Linked DNA regions of Danio rerio. The protein of the gene in region 3 interacts with the protein of the main gene of each other region in a pairwise test. Links are inferred from orthologs where the notes say so. Each region holds a gene or a part of one and is shown on either strand. Other genes may lie near its edges. The genes, in order: pam16, htt and fez1.

Region 1 (5,098 bases), on a different chromosome or scaffold from region 3:
TTTTAAGCTTTGTTTTGGTGTGTGAACATTTCTAAAGATGTTATATTCTCTAAATTCATTTATAATTTATTTATTACTCATCATAATGATTCTTTATGATAGTGAATGTACTTTTTATCAGATTATTTTTCTTTAGCTTATGTTATTTTTTATGTAAAAATGTTTTTTTTATGCTTAATGTAAAGTTTTGTTTTTATTCATCCGGTGTTATTGAATGAATTAAAGTGTTTTTATTGAGGAGACATGTTAGCCATGACGCATACCGTTTTTTCTTTTTTTAGTAACCCTGCAAACCAATTCCCCAGTTGCATCTATAAACATTTAAATTATGTAGAAAAATAAATATACATTAAAAAATAATAATAAACAAAGAAAATCAAATAAAACAAACAAACACACAAACAGGAAAAATAAAAACTAACAAAATAAAAAAATGCAAACAAAAAACAAATAAAAAACAAACAAAAACTGATAAAATAACAAACAAAAAACAAACAAATTATTAAAAAAATTACACAAACAAAAACTAATAAATAAAAATAAAATCACACAAGCAACAAAAAACATAAAACCAAACAAAACAGAAAATACAAATAAAAACAAATAAATAAAAAACAAACAAAAAACATATAAAAAACACACAAACAAAAACAAATAAAACCAAACAAAAAGAAATACAAACAAAACATAAAAAAACATACAAAAAATAAATAAAAAAGGAAACAAACAAATAAATAAAAAGTAAAAAACAATCACAAATAAGCAAACAAAAAAACTAATAAAATCAATAAATAAAAACGAAACTCAAACAAATAAAAACAAACAAACACAAATACAAAAAACAGATAAATAAAATACAAACAAAAAACAGACAAAACAAACAAAAACATAAAAGTGAATAACAAATAAAAACACTACTAAAATGTATAAAAAACTAAAATAAATGAAAAACAAATCAATAAATAAACAAAAAACAATTAAATTAACAAACAAAAACAATGAATAAAATTAAAAAACAAAAAAGCAAACAAATAAATAAATACAAACAAACAAACAAAAAACGAATTAATAAAATACAAACAAAAAATGCAGATAAAACAAACAAAAACAAATAAAAAACGATTACAAAAAATAATAAGCAAACAAGATCATGTTCTAAGATCATGTCTTTTAAACCATCCATAATGCATAGCTTAAATGTTGGATAAGATCTTTCAATTATTCTTTAGATTGACATTTAGAAGACGTCATATGCGTGTCTTTCTTAGATCTTCTTCCCAACAGCAGCTGTTTGTAAAGTGTTGCTCTGCTGTTTTTGCTCGAAGGGTGTCAAAACCACAACGCGCCTCTTCTCAGAACTTCACCTGCTGTTGTTCGCGGGTCACATTAACATGACCTAGCCTTAGGTGGAGGAAACATTGTGTGAAATGTAGACTGCTGACACAATGGATATGTTGGTCTGGGCTTTTACTGATCAGCATAATCCTCAGCTGCGGTCAAATGAAGATCTCTTTTCTCAGACCGCTCAGATTTGAAGACAACTCGGTGACACGTTAATGTACAATTCAATCTATTGACAAATCATCGACAAATCACTAGCTAAGACTTTTAGCTCAAACTACAAATTGGCAGCTTTATTAAAAGGTAGCAAGGTAGTAGTTGGGTTTAGGTATTGGGTAGGATTAGGGATGTAGAATTATATCTCTATATATAGGTGGGGAGTAACGAATTACATTGACTTCATTACATTTACTTGAGTACAATTGTAGGGTAATGTGTACTTTTTGACTTCATTTAAAACTGTACTTTTACTCTTACTCAAGTAAATTATTAGAGAAAACGCTCCTCCGTTACTGTCAAATGATAATAAATATCATTCATATGACTTGTTAGCAAATTTTGTGAGGTGCCGCATTGAAGAGATTGTGTCGCAGGAGGTTGTCATAGAGACGCGTCTCCTGCTTTCGGTTAGAGCACAGGCGCTTATGTTCGAATGATGGCTGAAATCGAGGAAGACTTGCGAGTTTATACTACGGTCACGCCATGGCCATCCGCGGTTCCGAGAGGATGTCACGCAGTGCAGTGAGTTTATCAGACCAGGTCACCATCGGCTTCAAGTTCAGTCTATGTTTTCACTCCAAGATGTCTACATGAAAAGTTTGATAATGCGATGCAAGCTGTACATCAAACTGACTTTGCAACATAAACATGAACGTAAATAATATTTTTCAAGACACTTCTATACCGCTTAGGGTGCTTTCACACCTACACTTTTGTTTCAGAAGCTGTCACGTTTGCCCAGTTAGCGCGGTTCGCTTGGCATATGTGAAACCACCAATCGCTCTCGGATCCGCGCCAAATCAATCGCTCCGAGATCGCTTGAATGAGGTGGTCTCGGCTCGATTGAAATGAACTCTGGAGCGGATCGATTGCAGTGAGAAAGTGATCCGATCAGAGCGCGGTTATATCACTGTGTTTATGGATATGTAATAGGCTTACAGCTATATGAAGAGAGAATTATGAGTAGGGCGGGAAGTTACGCGAGTCTCCGGATGCCCGCAAACTAATGATAATCTCCCGATAAGGTTGCGTCTCACTCCCGGTCCTCAAATAAGCTACGTGGCGCACCCTTCTCACCCCTCCCCACCGCATCTCTCCTCGCTCTTCAAACACGACGCATGCACCTTGTCAAACACCACCAAACCACCACCTCTCCTGACAGCTGAGCAGGACTCTGCAAAATAAACCCTGACACTCTGACCAATGTAAGGAGAGTTTACTCGCACGTGACTTGTTTTATCTCTTTTGGCCCGATTAGAAACTTTGCAGTGTGAAAGCGAACCGCTCCAAGAGCAAAGAGCAACATTGTAACATTTGTAATCTCTGTTTCGGAACAACGGAATCGATTCACAGGTGTGAAAGCACCCTTAAAGTGACTTTGAAAATTATTTTATTCATAAGCAGAAATGGCTTAAATTTTCTTTTGTTTTTCCCATTTTTCTTGCCGAATTTGACTCATTTGTTTTTCTCTCCTAAACCAAAAACAAACAGACAAAAAAGGCGCAAATCTTTGATACATTATGACAAGCTTTTTAAGGACACATATACCCTTATTGATTTGATGTATTTAGTCTCTGTTATGTAACAGCTTTAATTCATGTAAACCCGTTCACACAAACACATTTTCTTCTTTATTTTCTTGTTGGTTTTTCTTTTCCTCTGTATGCTACTTTTACACTTAAGACACAGGAAAATTAACAGTACGAAATTAACCAAATATCATCACAGAACATGATCTGTACTAAACCTTCTAATGACTTTTTGGCATAAAAGTACAGAAAATGTATAATTTTGATGCATATAATGTATTTTCAGTTACAACCAAAAATATACAAGACTGGTTTTGTAGTCACAGTTGATTTTGTCAGCGTCATCTCTTACCTTCGACTGAATATAGAAAGAACCGCCGACAGCTTTGTCATTGACTTTAAATAAGTGCTCATAATTCTGAAAAGAGAATGAAAGCACAAAGTTAATATCATATTTACTCGGAGTGGGAACACTGTGATGTTTGTGTGCTGGTGAATTTGTTTGACCTTCTGGATCTCCTCTGGCGTTAGTGTGGAGATGTTAAGTATCTGCTGGGCTTCCTGTAAGGTCATTCCTGTGAAACTGGACGCCGCCGCAGACTGTCTGCCCGCTTGACCTCGAGCCTCCGCAGCCGCCTGACTGGCTGATTCACACACACAAACACACACCTGATTAATAACATCACTCATCTATTAGGATTAGGTCTGGCCAATGTGTGTGCATTATACATAAACAATGTATAGGGTCTTTTCTGTGATGACAGTACATAATATTTTGCAAGATACTAGCATTCAGTTTAAAGTTTGATGTTAAAGTGTATTGTTAAAATGTCGTTTACTTCATGCATGCAATGAGTTTAATAAAATAGTAAATATTATATAATGACATAAATTATTAATATGTTATTAATAATATATTTATAGTGATTAATATGTTAATCGTAGTGATTTAAAATGATACCTAAAAGAACATAATGCAACATAAAATATTATTTAATTGTTTCTCCTTGCAAATACTGACTTAATATAAACAAACACATATACTAAACAAGGTGAAAAAGCAATAAGTGTTATAATAGTTATTAACAATCTTTTATTTCAATTGGTTCGATAAAAAAAAACACAGAATATTTATTTTATCAATATTACATAACTAATGAATAACTATAAAAATTAATTCCATATAAATACAAAAATATAAATAAACATGTAGATTATTAAATAAAAATATAAAATCTCAATTTCTGTTTAATGGAGAGCAGATTTTTCCAACACATTTCTAAACATAATAGTTTTAATAACTCATCTCTAATAATTGATTTATTTTATCTTTGCCATGATGACAGTAAATAATATTTGACTAGATATTTTTCAAGACACTTCTATAAGTGACATTTAAAGGGTTAATTACAGTAGGTTAATTAGGTTAACTAGCCAAGTTTGGGTAAGTAGGCAAGTCATTGTATAATGATGGTTCGTTCTGTAGACTATCACAAAAAATATAGCTTAAAGAGGCTAATCCGCTTGTTAAGTGTGACGTCACGCGAAGCGGCTTCCGGGTCCAAGCGCTCTTTTCAATTGAAAGGGGAGACTCATGAAATGGTAACAATAAACGTTTACAAAGCGATTAAAGGCTTTCGAAAATCACGATCGCAGTATATATGTCCATGTCTAGTATCCGATGGCCAGAAAGTGATTATTTTTTTATAAATTGTTAAATTTTTGGTATTTGTTATGCAGCAAGCCCAGAGATTGTTGTGTACACTATGACTTTATATAAAATTAACTTTAATGTGTGATATGAATAAAACGTGATCATAAACGAGTGGTCAAATGAATGGTGGCTTGGACCCGGAAACAGTATTACATACGTCACAAACACGTCACCACTTAACAAGCGGATAATTTTGTCCTTAAAATGTTTTTTTTTTTTAATAATCTAAAACTGCTTTTATTCTAGCCGAAATAAAACAAATAAGACTTTCTCCAGAAAAAAAATAAATATTATC
Region 2 (6,568 bases), on a different chromosome or scaffold from region 3:
TATTCATTTATTTATTTTAACATTATGTAATGTATACAAACAAATTACAGCTCTTTGTAAGCCCATTCTCCCCATAGGGGTTTTTGTCTTTCAATTCCTTTTTTTTTCTTGCAGTTCTCAATTCATGGCACAATTTATAAGGCATACATTTAAAAATTATGACATGTATTTCGTATTTATAGACTCTTTTTATTTTTGAGGAAACACAACTGAAAAGAAAATGGCAAATAATGAGTTTGTTTTTAATTGATTGATAATGTCTTGATTTTTATTATTATATTTGTCTTTTTTATTCTGTTGTGATAACAAGCTAGTGGCTCAACAATTGAATGTAACACATGTACTCTTCTAAGGATGTATGGCAGGATGGAGCAACTTTTCCTCGCATCTTTATTGTGCCTCTGCTGTGATGCTGTCATGGAATGTGAGCAGACACAGCTGTGCTGAGATTGGAGATCATAAACAGTCCAGATGAGCAGGTGAGTGTGGCTGCAAAATAACAATAATCTTTATTAAACAAATCGGCTTATTACCGAGATTCAAATAAAAAAATTAAAAATTGAATCCAAATTTAGGATTATGGCATTTATTTCTCTTCACCCACTATCACATGTGGGTTGCTACAGGAATTTGTGACTAATCTTCAAATGAGTCATGTATGGATTGGCCTCACTGGGAATGCCACTGAGGGAGTGTGGAAATGGGTGGATAACACTGAACCGATCCTAGAGTGAGAAAAAAAATACTATGTTTTGTTTTTGAAAGAGCAAATATTTCTCCAAAGTTAAAAAAAAAATGTTTATTTACAGTGTATATGCAGTATATATTTATCCAATTTGAAATTGTTTTTTTTCAGGTACTGGATAACAAGCAAGCCTTATAGTGTGGATGGATCTGAAGTTTGTGTGGAGATTAGGCCTGAGCAGCCAAGCCTAAAAAATTGGAATTACATTCAGTGTGAAGAATTTAAACATTATAACATTTGTGAATATGAATATTAAATGTTTATTTTATTTGAATCGCCTTACCATTGCTTGTGGCTGAGAAATATGAATTAGCAGACAAATGAATTGATCTAATTTCAATTAATTAATTAATTGCTTTTTTGCTTCCATTTTCTGTAATGTTCTCTAATATAGTTGTAAAAATTTGATTTCTGAAAATTCTAAAGACATTCACAATGTCAAGTTTTTAGATGATATATGAACATTCTTTAAAAAGTAATATATTACAGCGTTATTTTACAGTGTAGAAAGTTCAATAATCAGGTTATAAAAGATGCACTTTTTAAAGTATGTGACAGTACATTTCATGTTGATCAATACTCGAGATGCTCGCGGGCCAAAGTTGGCCCATGGTAATCTTTGATTTGACCTACCATCCCATCTGAGAATAGAGGAAACATGATGGGATGCTTTTGAGATTGTCCATTCAAATTTAATGCAACCCTTTGTTTGTTTGTTTGTCTTATTTTTAAAAGTTATTTTTGAACTCCACTGTGTTATAAATGCGATTGTTTGTTTGTTATTACAATAAGTTATCATTAAAAAAGTTATAACTGCATCAATACAATTAAGATAATAATTAATAATAATACTACTAATAAAATAATAAAAATTATAATATAATAATTAATAGAATTTAAAGAATTGTTTTATTTATTTTAAAATAAAGTGAAATAAGTTAGGAAATTACCCATGCCAACTTTAATGTAATATAGTTGGGTATTTACCTTTGGCCCACAGCTCTCAATGATATTTGGTTTTTGGCCCTTCATATGAACCAGTTTGGGCACCCCTGATCCACATGGTTGCACATATTTAAATCTGACATAACATTTATAATTACCAGCCATTAATTTAATATTATTAGAATATGTATTTTGTGTGATTTAAAAACAATATAATCTGTGTTAAAGCAACCTATAGTTTTATTTAATTTGTTTGTTTTGCTTGTTTAGATGTCTTCACAATTACAGTAAATGTATAAAGTGTATTAATTTTCCAGAAACTAGCTGTCCTTTTTACACGTACAATAGGGTATATTTGCCAATATATTTGTATACACAACAATAACACATGTTCGTTTCGTCAGAAATATTACATCAAATTTTAAATTATCAAAACAAACACAAAAAAAAGTTTAGTAATTGATCAAGAACATTATCAGTCGGTCTGGCGGAAGACTTGCATCACAATCAAGCTAAGCAAGCTGTAGATGCAGACATTCGCCATTGATTTTATTATGAATTAGAGGACTTCAATTTTGACAGGAGTTTTATTAACCCGGAAATACAGCAGAACAGTTGCTCTCCTAACCCAGCTTTAAGATGGCTTTCGGAACTGGACGTGCTATCAACTACCTTCAGAGCATATTGTTTGAACAATGGTCCTAATCGGATGGTGTGCGGAAATTAGACCGGACTTGAAGGGCTTTTGTCCTCCGTGAGGGGGTGTCCGTCTCGACGACACCGTCAGTTTCCCTTCGGCATTCTGCACAGCGCTCGTTACCAGTCTGTGACACTGGCTGTCGTTTTCAGTTTGTAAATATTACCCTATCTCCGATCAGATTATATCTTCATCACAGCTTCTGTTAAAATGGCCACCATGGAGAAGCTAATGAAAGCGTTTGAGTCGCTAAAATCATTCCAGCAGCAGCAAGGCCCGCTGTCGGCCGAGGAGCTCGTCCAGAAACAGTGAGTGCTGAACTGATGTTAATGCTGTTTAACGCTTTGTTGCAGTAATAGCCCTCTGCTTCATCATCATGATCATCATCTTCATAATTAGGGCGCTGACATCACTTGACACCGTGGCCATGCTAATGTTATTATCACAACATGCATAAGTGCAGTGTTGTCTTTTCATAAGGCTGACTATTGTTGTTGTTGTCTTGGGTTTTTAATCACATGATGCTCAACACCATAGATGTGTCACAGAGCCTTGTTAGATTCTGCGTCAGTGCTGAGATCAGACACTGCGCACTCCTCAAGAACTGGCTTCAGGACTTCTGATGTCCAAGAGTGTTGTGGTGTAAAACAATTACACTGAATGAATCTGTTTATTTGTGTTTGAATGCTGCCATCTTCTGAATTTTTATTCTGACTTCCCACAACTGCTTGTCTTCGTCTGTCACTAAACATCATTAGATAAACAATACTGTCATATATGACGTACAGCTCAAACACACACTCAAAAATAGTCTTTAGTATCCAAATATTGAAAATGTAAGATGTGTCATTGTGCCTTCCCTTTACTCATAAACATCTCATAAATATCTGCTTTGGCATGTTTACTTTGATGCCATATTAAAGTATAATATTTAAGGTTCGCAGAGCATTCCCAAAAATATAATGTATATTTATATTTTGGTCATGCACTGTGTTAAGGACAGATATTTGAACCACTATTATACATGTACGTCTATATGTACATTACCGGTTTTTTACATATAGACTTTGGGGTTCTTTTTATGTTTTTATTTTTTTTAATAAAATTATTCTGTTCATCATCAAATGTAAAAAAAAAATGTAAACACTTATTTAAATATTTATTTATTACTTGAAGTTTATTAAATGAAGTTATCACTCCAGTAATTATTGCTTTTTACAATAATAATTAATATTAGAGTGATTTCTGATTGATTATGGGACTATTGGAGTAATGAAGCTGAAAATTCATCTTTAATATCACAGAAATAAACTATTAAATTAAATGATACACTACTTTTGAACAGTTATTTCATAGTGCAGTAACATTTCACAATTTTCACTGTATTTTTGATGAATTATTAACCCCCCTGAATTATTAGCCCCCGTTTATTTTTTCCCCAATTTCTGTTTAACAGAGAGAAGATTTTTTGAACACATCTCTAAACATAATCGTTTTAATAACTCGTTTCTAATAACTGATTTATTTTATCTTTGTCATGATGACAGTAAATAATATTTGACTAGATATTTTTCAAGACACTTCTATACAGCTTAAAGTGATAGTAGTGTATGTATTCTTACCTGTGTGTGTGTGTGTGTGTGTGTGTGTGTGTGTGTGTGTGTGTGTGTGTGTGTGTGTGTGTCTGTCTGTGTGATTCTGAATGACAATGTAATTTGGACATTTGCACAAAAGTTATTTTAAACATGAAAGTTTTCGTCGCTTTGCTTGCATTTATTATTCTGCTTTGTGTATTTCAAATCATGTTTAATTATTGTAACTAAAATGGGTCTCAAAAAGTATTAGACGTTGTTTGAAAGTTTGGGATGCTGTGTAGTTTGTGAAATTGATTAAACCCTACTAAGTTGGATGTCACACTGCTTTGCTTAGTGCAGTAACCAAGGCAGCACCATTATTTCTGCTGTTCTATAGGCGAAACTGACTGGATTAACATTTTAATAAAGTATATGAATAATGTTCTAGTTTAGGATTAGTTTCTTTCAATCATTATTTAGTAAATATATTTTTAAAATGTCACCAATGTTACCTGTTCAGAACTAAAGTGGCGATGAGGTCTTAATAGAAAGATTCTAAAAAAAGTCTTAAAAGTATTAAATTTTACCCTTTGACTCCTGTATATACCCTGTTGTAGTCTATTTGATAATTTTATATATTGTAAATGAATGAATGAATTATGGAAATATTATATTGGATAATCCTACAGTACATATATTATTAATATAGATAATCCTAGCTAGGGCTGCACAATATATCGTTTCAGCATCGGTATTGCAATGTGATCATTACCAATAGTCACATCGCATGATATATGTAATGTTGAGTTTATGATATAATTGATCGTTTGCACGTGATTAATGATTTTAAAAACATTCAGGCATAAAAATTGTACCATTTGTGACTTTAACAATGATTTATTTTATTGAGTTATTTTTGTTTTTATCATTCAGTTACTGTACTTAAATACTATTAGACTCAAGGAAACGATAAAACACTTTATTTTTGTTCTATCTTTTTAAAAATTGTATTTATATATTGTTATGCATGAAAATAACAACATATGCAAATACACAATTGTACCGCTAATAGCACAGCCCACAGTGAAAATGTGTTGGGGGACCCCAAAAGTCTATAGATTGTTTATTAGATTTTATGAAGATGCAAATAGTAAACACAAATTCATCAATTTCTGACAAAACACGTACATGCAAATACAGAAAAACATTGCAAATAGCTCAGACCACAATGAAAATGTATTGTCTATTAGATTTTATGGAGATGCACTCTCAAAGCAGAATCATCCCAATCAATCTAACATGATAAATCCTTTCCAAATATAGATATTACGTCATCTGGTGAAATTGTATTCTTATCACAGTACATCACAAAGTAAAAAAAAAAAAAAAAAAAATTTATATATATATATATATATATATATATATATATATATATATATATATATATATATATATATATATATATATATATATATATATATATATATATATCGCAATTCTAGATTTTTCCAATAACGTGCAGCCCTAATCCTAGCAAGTTTTCATCTATTGATTTGTCCACGCACAATCATGCTGAATGTCTTGAAATTACAGTATTTTGAATAGTAAATGTATTGAATGCAAAAGCCAGCTAGATTTTAAGTTGAATAAATATTTGAGGATTTATGACTCGTGGTCAGAGTACAGTCTTTATCGAGTGATAATGTGAAATTGCAGTTTTAATAAAAATAAAATCGAATAGTCTAGCCAGCATCTCACATTTGATTTAAAGTAGAAATATGTTAAAATGTTCATTTAAAGTAGGCATGTCACAATATCAAATTTTTGTTGTGATATATTGCACCAAAATATAGTGTGATTAACGAAATTATTGTCATTTTAAGACCATTTTATGTCACTCATTATAAGGGATGGCGCGGGATAAGATTCTGACGGTATGATAACCTTGGTTAAAAATCTCACAATATTGTAATTATTTCTCTAAAATATGTTTTTTTTTTAAATGTCTGGGTAAAAACAACTTTTTTCCCCCTATTGAACACAATATTTTTTATTATAAAAAACATTTCAAATATTTTTGAACAGTAACTATTAATGTGGAGGGTCTCTTTCTGCTGGAGATACTGTTGCTGATACTGTAAAAACACATACACAACCCCCCACCCCCAAACAAACAACAAAACAAAATATACCGTTAGAACAGTATAACAGCAAATGTTGACAGTTTTAAAACCTTGACTTTTCTAAACCAGTGATCGACTCATGCCTACACATTATATAAGGCCAGAATGACAATATACTATAATATTGTCCAAATACGATGCAAGTGCATTCTTCCAAAGAACACATATTTTATTCTGAAGAGTATTTCATTTAATTATAGTCATTTTAGTAATTTAATGATTAGGCATTGGAATCAGAATGTGAAAATATAAATATATACAAAACAAATAAATAATATTGTGAATAAATGTAACAAAAAGTGCAAGGTAAAAAGCTACAGAAGCTGCAATATCTGCTATCAGATCTATTTTCAGTTGTCAGGCACCCACATGAAAATATACAGTAATTTATAGTAAATACTGTAGTGTTGTTTTTAACCATACT
Region 3 (6,881 bases):
TGTAATGATAAATGTCTAATAATACTGCTAATATATTATATATTAAATATAATATATTAAATGCCTGTGTGCTGATCCGCAGAGGACGAAGACTACAGGACTGTTATTTTGAAGGCGACGTCAGGAGCCCAGATTTGATTGACCAATCAGAGGAAATGGGCGTTTCAGAACCGCCTACATGTGGATAATGAATTTTAAAGTCATTTATCCGTTTTCCTACCCTAAACCAAAAAAAGAAAATCGAGCCAAAATCAGTTATTTAATTTTTTTGTAGCCAAATAAAAAAACGAAAAACGGCCGTTTCCTCGTTTTTTAAATTTCGTTTAAGATCAAAAATCGAATGAACGCAACGTACACGGACCGATTTGCATATTTATGAGTTGTGTTTTGATTTTACGAATTGGATATGCATATTTATGAATTTGTTTAGAATTTACGAATTGGATTTGCATATTTATGAGTTGTGTTTTAAATTTATGAATTAGATTTATGTATTTTTGAATTGTCTTTTGAATTTACTAACTTGATTTGCTTATTTATGAATTGTGTTTTGAATTTATGAATTGGATTTGCATATTTATGAATTATCTTCTAATTTATTAATTTGATTTGCATATTTATGAATTGTCTTTTAAATTTACGAATTGGATTTGCGTATTACTGAATTTTCTTTTGATTGATTTATTGATTTAATACATAAAGGTCAGAAAAAGTGGTTTTCAAGCAGTACAATAATAAGTGTAATACATGTTTGCATGTTTTTTTCTGAGCATATAAGTCATAAATATTTAAAGACATTTTTAAATAATTACCACTATTAAACATGTTTTGAATTAACAAAATAAATGTGAATTGAGTATGAATCTTATTTTGTAAATGAATTATTTTTTAAACTGATCTGGTTCCATATTCAATACCTCAAAATAAATGCCATACTCAAACAAAGCTCACTTCTCTTAAACAGCTGAAAATGAATTTAAATATGTTTATATTGAGTTATATAAGTATGAGCAGTATGAGTTATATAACAGTGACTGCCTCAGAAGCAGGAACATTTTGTGAAGCTTATCAACTATGAATATTTAGACTATAAAATAGGGTTTCTCTCAGATGACATCTCATTAAATTAATTTCGTTCTCTTCCACTAAGCAAGCGTGGAGCACCAGTGACTGCATTTCGCTCAAGAAGACTGAAAGTAATTGTGTTTAATCTGGGTAACGGTTGATTCAGCAGAACCTCTGGGAGTTTTCCCCAATAAATACTGGGACTGTGCTGTAGCCAAAGTCAGACAGCAATTATAGCTGGTGCTCATTCAGATTCACTCTCTAAAACAAATGAAAAAGAGTCAACGAGAAAGTACATTAGCATTAGCATTTTCTCTGCAGCCATTAGTGCTTTATAAAACTCTATATTGATTTAATGCATGAAGGTCAAAGAAAATTGGTTTTCCAGCAGTAAAATAATAAGTGTAATACATCTTTACATTTTTTACTTTATTTTTTTAAAATCAAATAAATAAATATTGAGCACCATTATTTAAATATGTTTATTTAATTTAAATAATTACAATTATTCACAGTAGACAGTGTAAGTAGGAGTAAAAAAAGTAAGAGAAGTATAACTTGCTTATATACCAAATATTTTATGCATATTTAGAACAAGTATTATCTGCTTTCATATTAAAAGACTTTATTTAAGGCTCACAAAGAAGCCTCGAAATAAAAATAAAAAGTAAATAATTAAATGTTTCCTATCTATCCTTAAAAACTCAAGGTCTTGCCTGTTTGTCAATCTTTTAGTCTTTTCAAGAGTTCACACTTAGCTGATGATTGATAATAAAGCTAGTTTGGCGTGCTGTCCCGGGAGAGAGCCCTGAGCTTATAAGATCCTCGAGCCCTGGGCTCCCTCCCGTTGCAAGGCGAGAGGGGAGTTTGAGCTCAGGCAGATCTCAATGACTCCCCCTCTTACTTGTTTTAGCAGAGTATAGCTAAAGTATTTGGATTAATTGTTTAGAGTGCTTGTTTTTGAACTGTGGGAGGAAACCGGAGGACCCGGGGAAAACCCACGCGACCACGGGGAGAACGAGCAAACTCCGCACAGAAATGCCGTCTGGTTTGGAAAGGAATTAAACCAGGGGCATTCTTGCTGTGAGGCAACAGCGCTAAAAGGAGAGAAAGTAGGGTTGGGGGGGGGGGGGGGGGGGGGGGGTTCTTCAAGACAAAGGTATTGAGATGAGAAAAGTCTAGTTATTTATAGTGAGTTAAGGATCGTCTGATAGGATAATCAGTCATTAGCTAAAGTTGGAACAGCTGTGAACAATCACAAGCACGTGATCCTCTCGAAATTTGTTTATAAATAAACTTGACTTAAAATATAATTAAATACGATCGCTTATTTATATTTACTCACAGAATAGGTACGTCATGTCACCGAATGACAGTGGAGCATTATCTTACCTGTATTTTAACATTTATTCAAATTTTTTATTTTGGCAACATAGTAGATTTTTGACATATGTGTAAACTGTTATGTAAATATACAGTGCATGTGATGCATTCAAAAAGGGAAATCTTGTCTTTAAAGCATTATTATTTAATTCACCAAACAATACTGGATTCACGGTTGCTCATTAATCAGCCTTACAACAAGAAGGTCGCTAGATCAGTTGGCATTTCTGTGTGGAATTTGCATGTTCTTCCCGTGTTGGCATGGCTTTCCTCCACGTGCTCCGACAGTCGAAAGACTTGCGCTGTAGGTGAATTGAATAAACTAAATTTGCCGTAGTGTATGTGTGTGAATGAGTGTTGTATGGATGTTTTCCGGTACTGGGTTGCAGCTGGAAGGGCATCCGCTGTGTTAAACATATGCTGGATAAGTTGGCAGTTCATTCCGCTGTGGTGACCCCTGATGAATAAAGGGACTAAGCCAAAGGAAAATGAATGAATGAACACCTTCATAATACTATGGTGTTATTTTATCTACATGGCTGATTCCCAAAACAACCTCTATTTACATTCTGATCAGGCCAAGATGACTTCCAAGAATCGATTTAATCTTTAAAATGCATTGCATTGATTCATGCATTGAAATGAACAAGTTCGGGGTACATATAACATCCACCCATTACAGTTCACACCTCCTTTTTTGTCCTGTCAACTGACAGTTGCTGTGAATGAGCACAAAGGCTTTATCAGGCTTAGAGTCAGGCTGTAAAAGGATCAAAATCCATTTAAAACAGGCTTGCGTAAGCTTTTACCCCAACATTACATTAGTCAGCAAAGTGCCATTCCACTAAAACACTGTCTGTGCCATGTCAGAATTATTGTTATGACCTTTCCCACTCCCTAGTTTTTGTGGATGCGCATTGATTTGTTTGTCTGCCATGCATTAGTCTGCGTCTATGATGAGAACCAGATAAAAAAAATCGGACTATTGTTAATGCAACGTTACAGTGATAAACCGCTTCCCCTTATTCACATTTCCTGGGGATGGGTGTGTGAAATTGAGCAGGAGTTTAAATAGCATATTGACCCCAAATCAATCGATGAAACACAAATTGTACCAATGGAATAGAACTATTTTTGCTGTGGGACATCCACTGAGGATGACGTCACAGAATTGTGCATCACATTCATAATGATAAGACAAAAAACTGTGAGAGGTATTTCTGAAATTGAGAATTATTTGTGAATGTAAGATGAATTTTTTGAGTGCCGGTGTGACCTGTGTTGTGCAATATCAGCCGTGTTATTAGACAAGATGAACTGACAAGCCATGATGGGAAGAAATATGGCCGATCACATCATAAAGCATGGCAGAGATGAAATACAACATCACACCGAATCAGATCTGGTGGACTAATTTTTCAAGCATATCTTTAGGTAACACCACATGGATAAAAATTCATATTTTGGAATAATAATACAGAAGGAATATGTTAAAATAAAATGTTAAAAATAAATCAATAATTGGAAATAAATCTGCACAGAAAGAAAAAAGAAGAAGAAAAAATAGAAATGGATGGAAGCAGAATGAACAGAGATCAAGGTTACCCCATAAATCCTGAAGGGAATAATGGGAAAACAATGGCAGGATGGAGACGATGGAGTGATGGAGGATAGGAAAAAAAAGAGGGAGGAACAAATTACCTGCAGAAGAATCTCTCCTTCTGTATCTGGGTTGAAAAAAGCCCCTCCTATTCCGATATAGTCAGAGTGAATCCACCATCAGTCAGGATGAAAGAACACAGTCATTCCCATCACAAACACGCAAGCTGGAGTCGTGATGGCCGCCCGGCTCCCTGTTCTAGTCCACGGCGTCTTGTCTAAGCCAGCCGAGGCTCAGAGTGTTGTTTTCTGAGCATTAAGCAGCAGTCGTCCTGTCGTCTCCTCCACAGAGCCTGCGCACTGACGGATGGATTCCCCCTCCCCCTTCTGCTCTCCTCATGCACCTCTCTCTCCGCCCACTTTCCCCTCCCGCTGCCAGGAGCCAAATCCCTGCATATTCATGAGGATGGAGGAAAGAAAAAACTGTACGAAGGCTTTATTCGCACCTTGAACCCGCTTGTCATCAGCCACATCGGGGGTCTCCTGGCAGGATCTATTCTCATTACGCCTCAAAGCACGCTCAAGGGATTTTCAGTGAGAACGCTGGGCCTAACAACATGAACGCCGGCTCCTTACTGTCAATCATTTGCTATTGAAATGAAGGCTATAAATCTGGCAGGATTGTATGGCTGTATAGAGTGGTTATATAGCATAGCCATGGTCTAAAAAGTCAGAAACGATTATGATTTATTTATTAATGTAATAATTTTTTGCATTTTATATATGTATTGTAGTTTTTATAATCATTTATGACTAGTGGAACAGCTTATGTAATATTATTAACCCTCTGGTGGGTTAATAATTTTTAAACAAAAAAAGTAGATCGCTTACCATATCTGAATGCTACAAAATTCTAATTTAATTGTTTAAAAGGGTAAATGGTGCTAAAATATGTAAAACTTGTGCTGTTTGTGGTTAAAAATGCCTACATTGGAAACTAATAATTTCACATTGCAGAAATATGGGGTACTGCACCCAAATTAAAATGATATGGAAAGCCAATTAACCTTAAATATTAAGATATTAACCTTACATCAGAAAGCAAATTCTTGAGCATTATTATTTATTTTTCTTTTATTAAAACACATTTATGACGCCAACCACAGAACACTTTTTGAGGTGTCATAATCCTGGACCAGGCTGTATCTTGAGCAGATGCTGTGACGGTCATGGAGGAGTGGAGACTCAGTAACCGACGAGTCTCTGCATTGATCCCGTGTGTAAGCCTGACCACCTGCCGGTGAAGTTCTTGCATCTGCAGCTTCTCCACGATGGGCATCCAGCGTTCTTCAGGTCTCCAGGTTCCTCTGCCGCCTAGACTGCAGCTCTGCATGAAAAGTTTGGCCAGAGCAGAAATGGTTTCTCTCAAGATTTTTTTCCCCTTAACTTTCAGCAATAGGTGAAGTTTATTCCTTGCCCCTGTTGCCACTGGCTTGCTTGGTTTGGTAATGGTGAAGCAGCGCATCCATGGATTTGCTCTTCAGTGTTTGGACTTTCAGCAGTGAAAATGAACCCACACTGAACTGAACTAAATTGAACTTTAACTCTGAAAACTGGACTCACACAGTTTCATTTTCAGTTTACTAGAACTTCTGTGTTAAGCTGTTTTTAAATCTGCATTGTAAAAGCGCTATAGAAAATATATAAAATGTAGCTACTGCATGAATATAGTTCACTATCATAAAATAACATATGTGAAATAAATATCAAATTTGGTCCAAAAGTTGGAGACTGATGAATGCTTCTAATTTGTCATTGATAAATTTGATATCACAAAGTTAAAAAGGTAAAATTGCATATATTTAAATATTAAAATTTACACTTAATTAGTAAGTTTAGTAAATTGCTAAATACTACATAGTTCTCCATTATATCAGTAACATTGTTAGGTGAATGTTTTGTAAATTTAATTGTGCATTTATTCTTATTCTTATAATTATTATTATTTTTTGGTTGTTAAGTCATGACGTATGAAATACTGTTTCGGAAAATATTCATTTATGACATATCACCCACTTTTTAGTCATATCACCCATTAAAGGGAATTTTACATAAAATTATGGTGTACACAACAGTCTCTGGGCTTGCTGCATCACAAATACCAAAATTTAAAGTTTCTGGCCATCATCAACAAGCCAATACTAATAAATTACCTTCAATTGTCTTAATCTTTAAAAAAATATTAGTTTATCAAATAGTTTATCAACATTTTTTAAGGAACATTATTCTATCTCAAAATGAGTATCATTTTTTAGATGTACATTTGAATGCTACATATTATAATGATCATAATCTTGTAGTGTAATCTAGAGTTACAGTGTAGATAATAGAATGATACACTCTAAAACGCTCAGTTGTTGTACACCAACATTGGGTCAAATATGGACAAACCCAACGTGTAGTCAAATTTTTCAATGAAATTTAATTACACTTTTTAACCTAATAGTTGGTTTTGTCAATATTTAATCCAACATTAAGTTTAAACAACCCACAGTTTTTAGTGTGTAAGCCATACATACACTGTTAACAATTTTCCATGGAATCTACAGCAACTACTGTAAATCATTTACAGCAAAAATATTGTATTTACATTTAAAGCACCATTTATCTTGCTGTATATGTAAGAATTGTATGTATATCTTTACTGTATAGCAGTGATTTTCACAATGCATTAAAATACAGTAACATACTACAGAACTGGCCTACGGTAAAATACAGTTCATATTACTGTTAAATACTGTCCAATTTACTAAAAAAAATATAAATATTTGACA

The links.
Region 1: the proteins of fez1 (region 3) and pam16 interact in a two-hybrid assay, tested with the Homo sapiens proteins (2 studies listed by BioGRID and IntAct). The link is inferred for Danio rerio from reciprocal best matches to the Homo sapiens genes FEZ1 and PAM16.
Region 2: the proteins of fez1 (region 3) and htt interact in binary tests that used the Homo sapiens proteins (3 or more experiments, as listed by UniProt). The link is inferred for Danio rerio from reciprocal best matches to the Homo sapiens genes FEZ1 and HTT.

What each region holds. Positions count from the first base shown.
Region 1 is NC_133178.1:10,503,315-10,508,412, forward strand, and holds part of pam16 (mitochondrial import inner membrane translocase subunit tim16), read right to left. Parts: intron 3,734-5,098; coding exon 3,597-3,733; intron 3,508-3,596; coding exon 3,442-3,507; intron 1-3,441. UniProt on the Homo sapiens protein: Regulates ATP-dependent protein translocation into the mitochondrial matrix. Inhibits DNAJC19 stimulation of HSPA9/Mortalin ATPase activity.
Region 2 is NC_133176.1:44,460,384-44,466,951, reverse strand, and holds the start of htt (huntingtin), read left to right. Parts: upstream 1-2,303; 5' UTR 2,304-2,597; coding exon 2,598-2,695; intron 2,696-6,568.
Region 3 is NC_133185.1:36,774,491-36,781,371, forward strand, and holds the start of fez1 (fasciculation and elongation protein zeta-1), read right to left. Parts: upstream 4,178-6,881; 5' UTR 4,150-4,177; intron 1-4,149. UniProt on the Homo sapiens protein: May be involved in axonal outgrowth as component of the network of molecules that regulate cellular morphology and axon guidance machinery.